Diceros bicornis minor: one gene and its partners. The protein of the gene in region 1 interacts with the protein of each later gene in a biochemical or structural test. Links are inferred from orthologs where the notes say so. Each region holds a gene or a part of one and is shown in the gene's direction. Other genes may lie near its edges. The genes, in order: CASK, CNTNAP2 and CASKIN1.

Region 1 (3,744 bases):
AGTACTCAAATCCTTAACACTGGCAAATCTTTCAGCCTCTTAAGGGAGTGGTCAAGGGTTTGCACAAAACGTTTCTGAAGAGAAAATAGGCTGTGGATCTCCACCCACCCCACATACACTTTGGTAAATACTATCTTTTTTTTTGTTTTCTTACCGCACTGAGAATATTACCAGATGATTTCTAGAAGCTGACTTATGAACTAATTGGGCACTTCCGCTGTGCAGAGGAACAAAGACTTTTTTTTATTGGTCCTCAACTGAGGCATATACCTGTCTGATGGCGTTGGCTCATTCCGCACATGCTCAAACAGAAATCTTCATATTGAATACAACCTAGCACAGCGGCAACACCCAGAACCTTGCTCCCTGGCTGACCCTGTGCATCCACTCCTTCTAGTTGCATTTTTATCCTGACATATCTAACATTTATAGGGAGTTTAGGGAGCAGAGTAGATGCTGGGGGGCTTGGGGGCCTGTGGGGGGGAGATATACAAAGGGGCTTAAAGTTTCTGTGTGTCTCTGCCTTCCTGACCTCTATCGAGGCTGTCTCTAGTAGGGCAGGCGCTGGATAGATATTTGTTGTGTTTGGGGCAGAATGCAGGAGAAGCTGTCTCTATAAATTGCCATTTGTTGTCGCACGCCTTCCTGGACAGTTTTTGTTTGGTCCTTTACTCGTAGGTGGACGACCTCCCTTCCCCAGCCATTTTCACTAAGGAATGACAGAGTAGCTCTAAAAGCATCCGCCGCCCAGCACGGTCTGGAGTGACAACCTTGCCACCTCTCCTCTTGCTTTCCCATTCATTAGGACCCTTTCCCAGCCTCTTTCCCCAGCAACAACTGGGAAAGGCTTCCTGCGGTTACAAAACAAGCGGGGGAGCGGCTGAAGTTCCGAGTCTTTCGCCGCAGAGAGCTAAGAACGTGCGTTCAGTAGTGGACCTTTTGTCCCCAGCCCCTTCACCGGCTTGGTCGCGGAGGTGACGACCCCGACCAGCCCCCGCCTAAGCAGCTGCCGCCGGCGCGCCCCTGCGGGCCAACTCCCCGCCCCTTCTAGATTCCCGGCGCCTTCCCATTTTGCCGTGACGTGGCCGGCGGCGCGCGCATGCGCCGCTCAGCCCCGTTTCCTTTCCCTCGGCCACCGCCTCCCGACTGGCTGGGGTGGGCGGGGCCTGTGGTTCGGGAAGCCTCGCGGCCTTAGGGGGAGGAGGGCGTGTGTGCGCGAGGCGGGTGCGCGGGGCGCGCGAGCTGGTCGGCGGCTGAGGCGGAGGAGGAGGAGCTGAAGGAGGCGGCCGGGGCTCCCGCCCGCAGAGAGAGCCAGTCCCGCGAAGCCCCCTCCCACTCCCAGGCGGGCGGTGGCGGCGGGAGGAGGAGAAGGAGGAGGGAGCGTCTCTGCCGCCGCCTCCTGGTCCCCAGCGCTGATCTGCCGCCGCCACCTCCCTCCGCGGCGATCCTCCCTCCATGGTCCTGCCGCGGCCCCCTCTGTAGCCCGAGCTGCCCCACGCCGCGCCGGAGCCAGCCTCAGCAGAGGGAGCGGTCGCGGCCTCGCGGCCCGCGCGGGCTGACGAGCAGAGAGCGCGGCGCCGCGCGGTCCCCGAGGATCCGCACGCCGGGCAGCGCGGCCCGAGCAGCGCGAGGAGCAGCGGGCGGGCGGGCGGCGCCGGGCCCGGGCCGCCCTCGCTCCCGCGCCCCGGCCCCGCCGCCCGCGCCGGGGCGGTCGCCCGCAGAGGAAGGCGCCGCAGTCTCCGGGCCTCGCAGCCCCGCTCGAGCGTCCTCGGCTCCGAGGGCTCGCGGGTCCTGAGGGGAGGAGGCGAGCCAGGGGCCGGGCACTGAGCTCTTTGGCGCCCCCACCCCCGTTTTCGGAGCCCTCCACGCTGCGGCCGCTGTCCCCTCCGGACCATGGCCGACGACGACGTGCTGTTCGAGGATGTGTACGAGCTGTGCGAGGTGATCGGCAAGTGAGTCTTCACGCGAGGGAGCGGGAGTGTGGAAAAATGCATTTCAGTGATGCCCGGGTCCTCCCGCGCCCGCACCCGTTCCAGGCCTGCCCCCTGCCCTCCCTCCCCTCCGCCTCCCTTGTCCTCCTCACCCGGGAGTATTTATAGACGTGTACCTGGACCTTCTGCCGGGCGGGGGTCTGGGGGGGGTTCTCAGCGATCCGTGGAGGCGAACGAGCCGAGGTCAGCCACCCCATGAGGCGTGGGGCCGGCTGAAATCTGCTGTCTGCATTTTATCTGACGGTTGCACAGGGACGTGGCAGAACCGATTTTATAGTTGCTTCCTGGGAACAGTTGGGGTTATTGTTATCTCGCGTGTGGCACAAACCATTAACGAAAAGAGCAGCTTGCGTTTCCTTTACTTGCGTGGAAAGATAGAGAAAGAACGTCCAGGATTTTTAATTGTGGGGTGTGTGTCTATTGTGCAGGATATTAGATAGATGCCTTTGTGTTCACCCCTTGCCCGGATTGGAGGGGGTCATTTAAGACGGGGTGCGTTCAGTTTCAGCGAATTCCTCGCCTGGTATAGACGAACGTGGAAAGAGTTGGGGGTAGCCGAATTTTTAATGCCTCGTTATGCAATGACTGTAAATCAGTGTTCGAGTCTTCCCTCGACTGTTGTTGGGATGGTGGTTAGCGTGGTAGAGCCGTCTGCTTTGAGTCACCGGGCTGGTCTAGAATATAGAACTGACAGTCCAAATGCTCATCCTTTCATCTGTGTTGTATAATTACACTAGGGAAAAGCAGAGAATCAGATTAATCACAGTGCTGATTGAGAATTAAATCTGCAGTTCCTCATCTAATTGTCCATTCCTTAAATCTGTTTTGAATAGTTTCCTTTTCATTCTTGTCAAACAGTATTCCAAGTGCACAATCCTGCTAATTTGCTTGTGAAGGAAATGCTGGCGATCTGAAGTTGATTTCCTAGTTCAATGTGTATTCTGTGGCTTTGGAAGTTGAGGAGATAAGATTTAAGAGCAATTTTTGCTTATTTATTAAGGATTGCTAGATAGCTGCCATTGAAATATTTTACCTCATTTTGGAAGCGGTGCTTTATTGTCTGTTTTAAGGTCCGCAGTTGGGAAATGAAACCAAGACCTTAGAGCAGTTGGCTCGCTCTCTTTCAAGTTGTCTGCAGTACTGAATTTCAATTTGTTTAAGTGCTGATAAATCATTTTTTTCTTCCATGTTGAGGTATTTCAGTGTTGCCTCACTTGGTGAAATTGTGAGTAGAGCTTGCTACACACTTTCCTCAGACCCAGTTGATGCAAGGACATGTTACTCCTTGCCTCTATTGTTACATGACCAGCCTGTCTACTAGAAGAAGGAAATCCAAATGCACCCTGACAAAGTGGTTGTGGAAGTGCTCTAGAGCAGTGCTGTCCAAAAGCTATATAATGCCAGCTGCGTATGTAATTTTATATATGTAAATATTACATATGTAAATTTTCTAATAGCCACATTACAAAGATTAACAACAGAGGTGCAGTTAATTTTAATAAAATATTTTATTTAACCCAATAGATCCAAACTATTATCATTTCAACATGTAATCAGTATAGAAATTATTAATGAGATATTTTACATCCTTTCTTTCTTCTTTGAAATCCAATGTGTATTTTACACTAATAGCACATCTCAATCCTCATACAAAGCTAAATTTTCTTCAGAAATACTTGCTCTGTGTTTAGGTTTCATAAAATTTGCATTTGCAAAAGTAGATTCACATACCCAAGTTGTTCCAAACATACCT
Region 2 (3,744 bases), on another chromosome or scaffold:
TAAATTTTTCATTTCCAGTATTGTATTCTTCATTTCTGATTTGTTCTTTTTTATATCTTCCATTTCTTTGTTGACACTCCCACTGAGTTCATCTATTCTTCTCCCCAGATCAGTGAGCATCCTTCACACTCTTAGTTTGAACTCTCTATTGGGTAGGTTGCTCATTTCTGTTTCACTTAGTTCCTTTTCTGGGGTTTTGTCCTGTTCCCTTACTTAGAATGTATTCTTTTGCCTCCTCATTTTGCCTCTTTCCCTGTGCTTGTGACTACATATTAGGTAGGTCAGCTACGTCTCCTGCTCTTGGATAGGTGTCCTTATGCAAGTGATGCCTTAGGAGTCCTGCAGTGTGCTTCCCTCAGTTCTCAATGTTCCAGGGGTGACCCCTATGTGGGCTACGTGTGTCCTTCTGTTGTGGCCTGTTTGCTGTCCCTGTAGGCGCCCAGGGAGGCTGAGTTATGCTCCTGGCCAGCTGCTGTAATGCTCAGCTGCTTGTAGTTGTTGTGGGCCCTTCAGTCTCTTTATCAGGTGTGGGGATCCCCAGCACAGTTGGCTGTGAGTTCTAATACCACATTTGTGTTGCAGTATTTCTTATAAGTGAGTAGGCCCCCAGCGTGGCAGGTTGTTAGGCTCAGGGCCTTACAATTGCTGTAAGCCTCTAGCCTATTAGGTCTCTTGTCAGCTCTCTGAGGATTGCAGCTGGGTGGGGCTGGCCTCAGGCACAGGAGCACCCAATCGTTTCAGGCTTTGGAAGGTGGGGCAAACCTCCTATGTGGGTCTTTGAGAAGCACAAGTCTTCTGCAGCTGACAAACCCTGCCGCCCACAGGTCCACACACACAGGCAACACAGCCCTGCCCTCTGTGAGCGCCCCGACCTCCCCATGTGGACCCAGTCTCTCCACCGCGGGAGCCCCACACACTCTGCCACCGCCCCACACTCTCCACCAGCTGCTTGTGGACACCCTGCCCTGCTCAAGTCTGCTCAGTTGCCAGGCTGCAGAGAATCCAGTCACCAATCTATGCAGGCCCACACGTTGCCTGAGGGCTTGTTGTTGGGTGGGGCCAGTCTCTAGGGTGGGCTGCCTGCTCTGGCTGAGCTGGATTAAATCGGTGCTCTAGTGGGTGAGGCAGACCCTGGGCTAGCAGGCCTCAGGGAGAACTCCAATGGCGTTTGTGTCAGCACACCCACACCGGGCCACAACAATGGCCACCGCCAATGTCCCAGTCCCTGGAGAGGTCTCACCGCTCACCGAGATGCACTCAGGGCCTATTAGGTGAGTCTCTTTTCACCACAGCACTGTGCACCTTTCTTTCTGGTGATTTTAGGATGCTTTCTGAAACGGGTGAGTTTGCGCGCAGGCCCTTTAAGAGCCAGTTTTAGTTTCTTTGTGAACCGGGTTTTCTAGGGGTGCTCCCCAGTGTTTTAGTAGCAGGCACAGTCAGATATTATGCCGCTGGTCTCGACTGTGCTGGGTCCACAAAATGCCCCCAGCGGGGGCGCTCCCCGGCTCAGGGCCCCGCGTCTCCAGGGAGGCTGCGTACCTGTGCGCTGCTCCCGGCGGCCGTGAAGCTGGCGGCTCGTGAAGGCTGCGTTTTTCCTCTCCGGAAGGGAGTCTCTGCCTCTTCTACCTCAGTTAGGATTGTCCGTTGTTGCAGGAGTTCCTCTTATCCAGTTTTCAGTTCTGTCTCAGGGGTAATTTTTCCACGAGTCGTTGTAAATTGGCTGTGTCCACGGGAGGAGGTGAGTTCCGAGTCTGCTTACGCCGCCACCTTGACTCCGCCCCAGTTTTGATGGTTTTTAATGGGAGTCTGTTGGTGGTCAATTGCTTCAGTTTTAGTCTGAAAATGTCTTAATTTCACTTTCTTTCTTGTTTGATCATTTAGCTTGACATACAATTCTAGATTGGAATTTTATTTTCTTTCAGCGCTTGAAATGTATTATTCTACTGCATTCTACCTTTTGTTTTCCCTTGTTGAAAAGTCTCCTGTCTGCTTTAGTATTATTCCTGAGGAGTCATCTGTCTTCTCTTTTGCTACTTTTAAGCTCCTTGGTGATCTGCTCTTCCAGTATTCTATGTCTATCACTAGATTATTTTAAATTTTTATTTGAGAATTATTGTCCTCCTTGAATCTGAATCTTTAATCAGTTCTGAAAAACTCTCAGACATTATTTCTTTGAATTGCTTCTCCATCATTCTCTTTCCTCTTCTTCTGAAATTTTAATCAAATATATGTTAGACCTCATTATCCTCCACATTTAAAAATTCATATTTAATATATTTAATCACTTTTTATTTTTGGACTGTGTTCTGAGTATCCAATCTATCTTTCAGTTCACAAATATCTTCTGTAGCTTTGTTTCATCTGCTTAATACAACTAATGAATTTTTAATTTAAATAAAGTATTTTTTCATTCCTGGAAGATCTATTTGATCATTTATCAAATTTGACTGGTTACTTTTAATACTATCCCATTCTTTTCTTATATATTTGATCCCATTTTTTGTTTCTTCAAATAATTTCTGAATGTTTACCATATTCTCAATCCTAAAATTTATCTGAAATTTGTGGGGGGCCACATTTTTATGTGTGATATTTCTGCTGAATCTTGTCCATTATGCTTTGTTTTCTTACGTTTTATATTTTTGGATTGTGAGTTTAAATTTCTCAGGTTTTTATTTTCAGGAATCCTGTAATTCCAGAGTCAATCTGGAGAGAACTTACTCTTCCTTCAAAGATAGCAACTTAAAGCCACTTTTTCTCTTTTAATTTTTTGGCTTGGGGGATACACCCTATCGTCAGTGTAGATTTGAAAGCTGAGCAATTGATAATTTTGCTGAGCAAGCCTATGGCTTATGAGTTCCCAGTAAGTATTTTTTTTTTTTAATTTTTCTTTCTATAGGCCAGGAAAAGAGAGACAAATTTCCTTGTCATCTCTCTTTGCTGACTAGTGAATTTTTTTCCAGTATCTACTTCAACTGAGATTTTAGCATTTTTAGGCTTTATGTGGTAGTGTGGTGGTGTGTGTGGGGGGGGGTGGAGTGGAGAGAGTTGTTCCTATTCCTTGCACAAATCCAACACTGGATTTCTAATTCTGCTTGGCCTTTAAAATCCAAACTTCTGCATTACAAATATCAGCAAATACCCTCTAAATACTAAAAGCCCAGCATCATCTGGCAGCCTGAATTTTAGCTTTTCCTTTTCTTTGACCCCTGAAAGCTTCTCCTACCTTTTGGTCTCTTAGATAGGTAATTTAAAGGATGTGTGTTACGTTTTCTCTAGCATTTCTAGGTGTTTTGAACTGGAAATTTTCAGGCTCCTCACTTTGCCGTGTCATAGGAAACGAAATTCTCTAGAGATTATTATTTCTCTCTCTTTCCTAAATATTCTATAAAATATTATTGAATGTTAAATATGTTAAATAAATTATCTCGTAGCAGGGAATTTATGTCATAATAAAAAACAGATATGATAAAAATTTTACACATATTTTTGTATGCAAAAAAAGTCATTTTTTTAAATAACTCAGAATAGATAGTGTCAGCATTTTGGGAAAAATTATCATCATGGGAGAGCATCAGGTTAGTGAAATTTGAAGCATTCTCAAAATATTTTGCCTTGAGACTATAATATCATACTTCGTTGAAGAACGTGGAAACGTCCTTACAACAGAAGAAAAGCATCATCTTTATACCAAGTGCAGAACGTTGAAAAGATCACATCAAGGGTAATAGCATCATCAACAAC
Region 3 (3,744 bases), on another chromosome or scaffold:
TAGGGACCACTCTGGGAGCCCAGCATATGCCAGGAGACCTAGGCTTGCTCCCTAAACTTCACCGGAGACCCCATGGAGGGAACTGACTAGCTGCCCTGATCAGGCGAGCCCAGCGCCTGCTGCTTCCCCTCCATCACCCTCTGGCCACTTTCCTCCTGGACCTGCTTGACACTATGAGCCATAGGAAGAGGAGTGGCACCATATTTGCGAACCTCACCAAATGGTCCTAACAGTTTTGCCCGGTTAGGGTGATGATCTGCCCCTTCCTGCAAATGAGGAAACCCAGCCTGAGCCAGGACACAGACTCCAGCTGATCTGTCTCTGTGGAATGCTGCAGCCACGACAAGTTGAGGGCCAAGGCCCAGGAGGTCAGACGAGTGAGACCTGTGTGTGTGTAGGAGGGTGTCAGCATCTGTCAAGCAGGACTGTCCTGCCTGGGGCTGCCAGAGTTTGTGCTGGAGGCTGGAGGGTAAGCAGGCCTGGGTGGGGGCTCAGATTAGTGCTGGGGATGGGGGATTGAGCCCCCCTTGGCGGTAGGTGTGGGGAGTTGCACTCTAGTTGGTGCTGGGGAGCTGCACTGGGGTTCAGATTGAGGCTGGGGGGGCTGGTGCTTGCATTGTTTGTGGAGAGAGCCACAGGCTGCTGGGGAAGAAGGTGCAGTTGTGGGGGTGTGAGTTCCCTGACACCGAATTCATTATTGGGAGATTCCTCTTCACAATCCCTTGACACCTCCCACGGAAACCACGGGCCAGAAATGTCTGACAGCCTCTGGCGGGCCGGCTCGCCTGCCGCCGGCGCCCAGGTCTCTCCTACCCCGGTCCTCTCCCGCCCACTGCCTCCGAGTCCCTCCCGCTTTGGATCCCGCAGCCTCTGGAAGCCTCTCTCAGGTTCAGCCTCGCGCAGCCGCCGAGTCGGGGCTCACTGTCCGGCCCCTCGGCGGCTGCTGTCCCCAGCCCCTGGCGGTCACCCGGGGCCGCGGGGCGTCCGCAGAGGCCGGGCCTGATCCGCGCGGCCCGCACGTGGGGAGGGGGTGTCTCGGGAGGCCGGGGCCTGATATAGGGGCGGAGCCAAGGAGCCGGGCGCGCGGCCGGCGCGGGCGGACGGAGGTCGGCGGCCGCAGGAGCGGGACCCACGCGTCCGGGAGACGGCGCCAGGTGCCGCGCCCCCGCCCCGCGCCCGCCGCCGCCGGCCCGCGCCCCCGGGCCGCCCCCCGCCCGTGACGCGCTCCCCGCCCCCTCCGCGCCGGGAGCCGGAGCCCGAGCCGGAGCCCGAGGACGGCGAGGGGCGCGGGCGGCGGAGGAGGCGGCGGGGGAGGGAGGAGGATGCGGCCGGTGCCGCGGGGCCGCCGCCGCCGCCGCCGCCTCTGAGCCGCGCCGAGCGCACGGAGCGCAGCCGCGTCGCTGCGGTCCCGGCCGCGCCATGGGGAAGGAGCAGGAGCTGGTGCAGGCGGTGAAGGCGGAGGACGTGGGGACCGCGCAGAGGCTGCTGCAGAGGCCGCGGCCCGGGAAGGCCAGTGAGTGTGGGGGGCGCGGGGGGCGCGGGCGGGAGCCACAGCGCACCCCAGGGGCCATCTCCAGCGCCGAGCCCCCCACCCCTCCCGGCGCAGGGTAGGGAGGGGGATGTTGTCGGGTCCCCCGGGGCGGGGCGGGGCCAGCTTGCCCAGACCCTCGGTCCGCGCCCCCCGCTCCCAGCACTCAAGGAGGGGCGGCGCCAAGTGCCCGGCCGTCACCCCGAGCCCCCCAGCGGACACCTGGCGGCACCCACCTCCTTAGCGCAGGCGTTCGCATCCCTCCCTCCGTCCCTCTCCCTTCCCGGGCTGCGGGCTGACAGCTGGAGGTCTCTGCTGGGGCTTTAAAGGGCGAGGCGGATGCCCCCCCCAACTATGGAGAGAGAGAGGGGGCCCTTGCGGTGAGGGGAAACCACAGGGCTGACAGTCCCTGTCAGACCCCCTCCCCGCCCCACGTTTAATAACACGCTTAGCAGAAAAGGGGGGGCAGGACCATGCTGGGGGTGTGGCTGCCGAGGCATGGCCGGCTGGGGGCCATTTACTAATGGGGGAGCAAAGGTCCAAGGTCGCCCAGCCCAGGGCAAGCTGAGCTCCAGGCACGTGCGGACCCTGCAACAGACCCTAGTCCTCTCTGGCTTCTCTGCTGGAAAAGGGGGCTGTGGGGGGGAGGGGGGCTCCCACTGGCCATCCTGAACCCAGCGGGTGGGGGCCCCAGGAAAGGGTTGGAGCTTGGAGCTCTGATCCCGGGACTCAGCCTGGCTCAGCGGAGCTTCCCCGGGGGGCCGCTGGAGATGGATGGATGGGCGTGTGGACCAGCCGCGTGTGCGGCTGCGCACGTATGGCCGTGTCAGTGTGTCAGGGCACCTGTGCGGGTGTGGGCAGGGCTCTGCGGGGTGGCACGTGGGGTCTGAGTTCCTCCTCCCCATGACACCCCCAGGACTGTATGTAAGCCAGGGAGGCCCCCTCCCCTCTCTAGAGGGGGCATGCTGAGAACTGAGATGGCCTCTGGGGCAGGTGAGGGTGGGTCCTTGAGCCCCAGGAGGACCCCTCCACTGCAGCCCCTGCCTGGCCAGCTCCTGTCTGCTCTGTGCAATTAGAGAGCCGCACATCCGTGCCTTGTAGGCACACATACACAGGTTGGCCCTGCCTTCCACACCGGAGACCCAGGGATGGTCTGCCAGTTGGGGCTGGCTTGCGGGCCTCAGGGCTCAGACAGGGAGGACTTCAAGGTCGAGGCAGCCTCAGCTGAGCCTGGAAAGCCGGTGAAGGAATTGAGAGGTGGAAGGAAGGCAAGGTAATGCTTCCACCTAGTGGCCGTGCAACCTTGGGCACAGACAATTCCAGCTCTCGGGGCCTCAGTCTGCTCATCTGTAGGATGGGGACATTTGTAGTCCCTGCCTCAGAGCATTGTTTTAAGAACAGTGAGAGAGCACATGAAGCCCAGGCCCTCAGTAAGTGGTCAGTAAGTGCTAACTATGACCAACCCTTAGACAGCCCCGGGTGGGCAGGCAGGGAAGTGGGGGCATCAGATTTGGGGGCTCCTCCTCCCTTCTACTCTGGTCACCCGGGGAAGGTGTGGGGACTTTTACCTTTCCCTGGGTCTCTGCCTTCACCCCTGCCGAGTCTGGTCTCTGGGTGAGAGACACCTGCCCTGGCCCCCTTCTCTGGGCTCTCTGACTCACAGGGGCGGGCGTAATAAATCAGACAGAGAAATCCCTCCATGAATTAGCTCGGTCGTCATGACAACGCTGGCCTGCTTTGGAGTAAGATATATTTTGATTCAGCAAAGTACAGCTGGAGTTTGGGCCATGGCGGGGCAGGGAGCATCCAGCAGTGCTCTCTAGGGCCCCCAGACTCCAGAGGTGTTCTCCCAGGATCCCTGTTTCTGTGTTCTCCTCCCCAACCCTCCAGTGTCTCCCCAGGCTCTGCCAGCCCCCCATCCCGCCTCGACGGGAATGCCCCTTGCATGCAAGGCACAATGCCTAGCAGTTGTCCTTGATGGGGAGAAGAGACTGCTCTGGAGGGAAAGTCTGGGGGTGTGGTGGGTGGGGAGGGAGCTGGCCTCCTGCTGGGGGGGGACACCCTGCCTTTCCTTCTGGGCCAACCTCCCCTTTCCCGACTTCACGGGAGACCACAGGCCAGCGCTCCTGTGCTCTCACCTTGCCACCAACAGTTCCCTTCCAGCCTCAGGCCGAGAACTCCCTGCCTGCGGGGAGCTGGGAGGAGACTGCACTGGC

What was found.
Region 2: the proteins of CASK (region 1) and CNTNAP2 form a complex in vitro, tested with the Homo sapiens proteins (2 studies listed by BioGRID and IntAct, with this or other methods). The link is inferred for Diceros bicornis minor from reciprocal best matches to the Homo sapiens genes CASK and CNTNAP2.
Region 3: the proteins of CASK (region 1) and CASKIN1 interact in a biophysical measurement, tested with the Homo sapiens proteins (2 studies listed by IntAct, with this or other methods). The link is inferred for Diceros bicornis minor from reciprocal best matches to the Homo sapiens genes CASK and CASKIN1.

What each region holds. Positions count from the first base shown.
Region 1 is NC_080781.1:36,527,232-36,530,975, reverse strand, and holds the start of CASK (peripheral plasma membrane protein CASK), read left to right. Parts: upstream 1-1,328; 5' UTR 1,329-1,893; coding exon 1,894-1,952; intron 1,953-3,744. UniProt on the Homo sapiens protein: Multidomain scaffolding Mg(2+)-independent protein kinase that catalyzes the phosphotransfer from ATP to proteins such as NRXN1, and plays a role in synaptic transmembrane protein anchoring and ion channel trafficking.
Region 2 is NC_080742.1:94,000,609-94,004,352, forward strand, and holds the start of CNTNAP2 (contactin-associated protein-like 2), read left to right. Parts: upstream 1-1,169; 5' UTR 1,170-1,213; coding exon 1,214-1,271; intron 1,272-3,744. UniProt on the Homo sapiens protein: Required for gap junction formation. Required, with CNTNAP1, for radial and longitudinal organization of myelinated axons.
Region 3 is NC_080765.1:46,222,293-46,226,036, forward strand, and holds the start of CASKIN1 (caskin-1), read left to right. Parts: upstream 1-1,165; 5' UTR 1,166-1,419; coding exon 1,420-1,513; intron 1,514-3,744.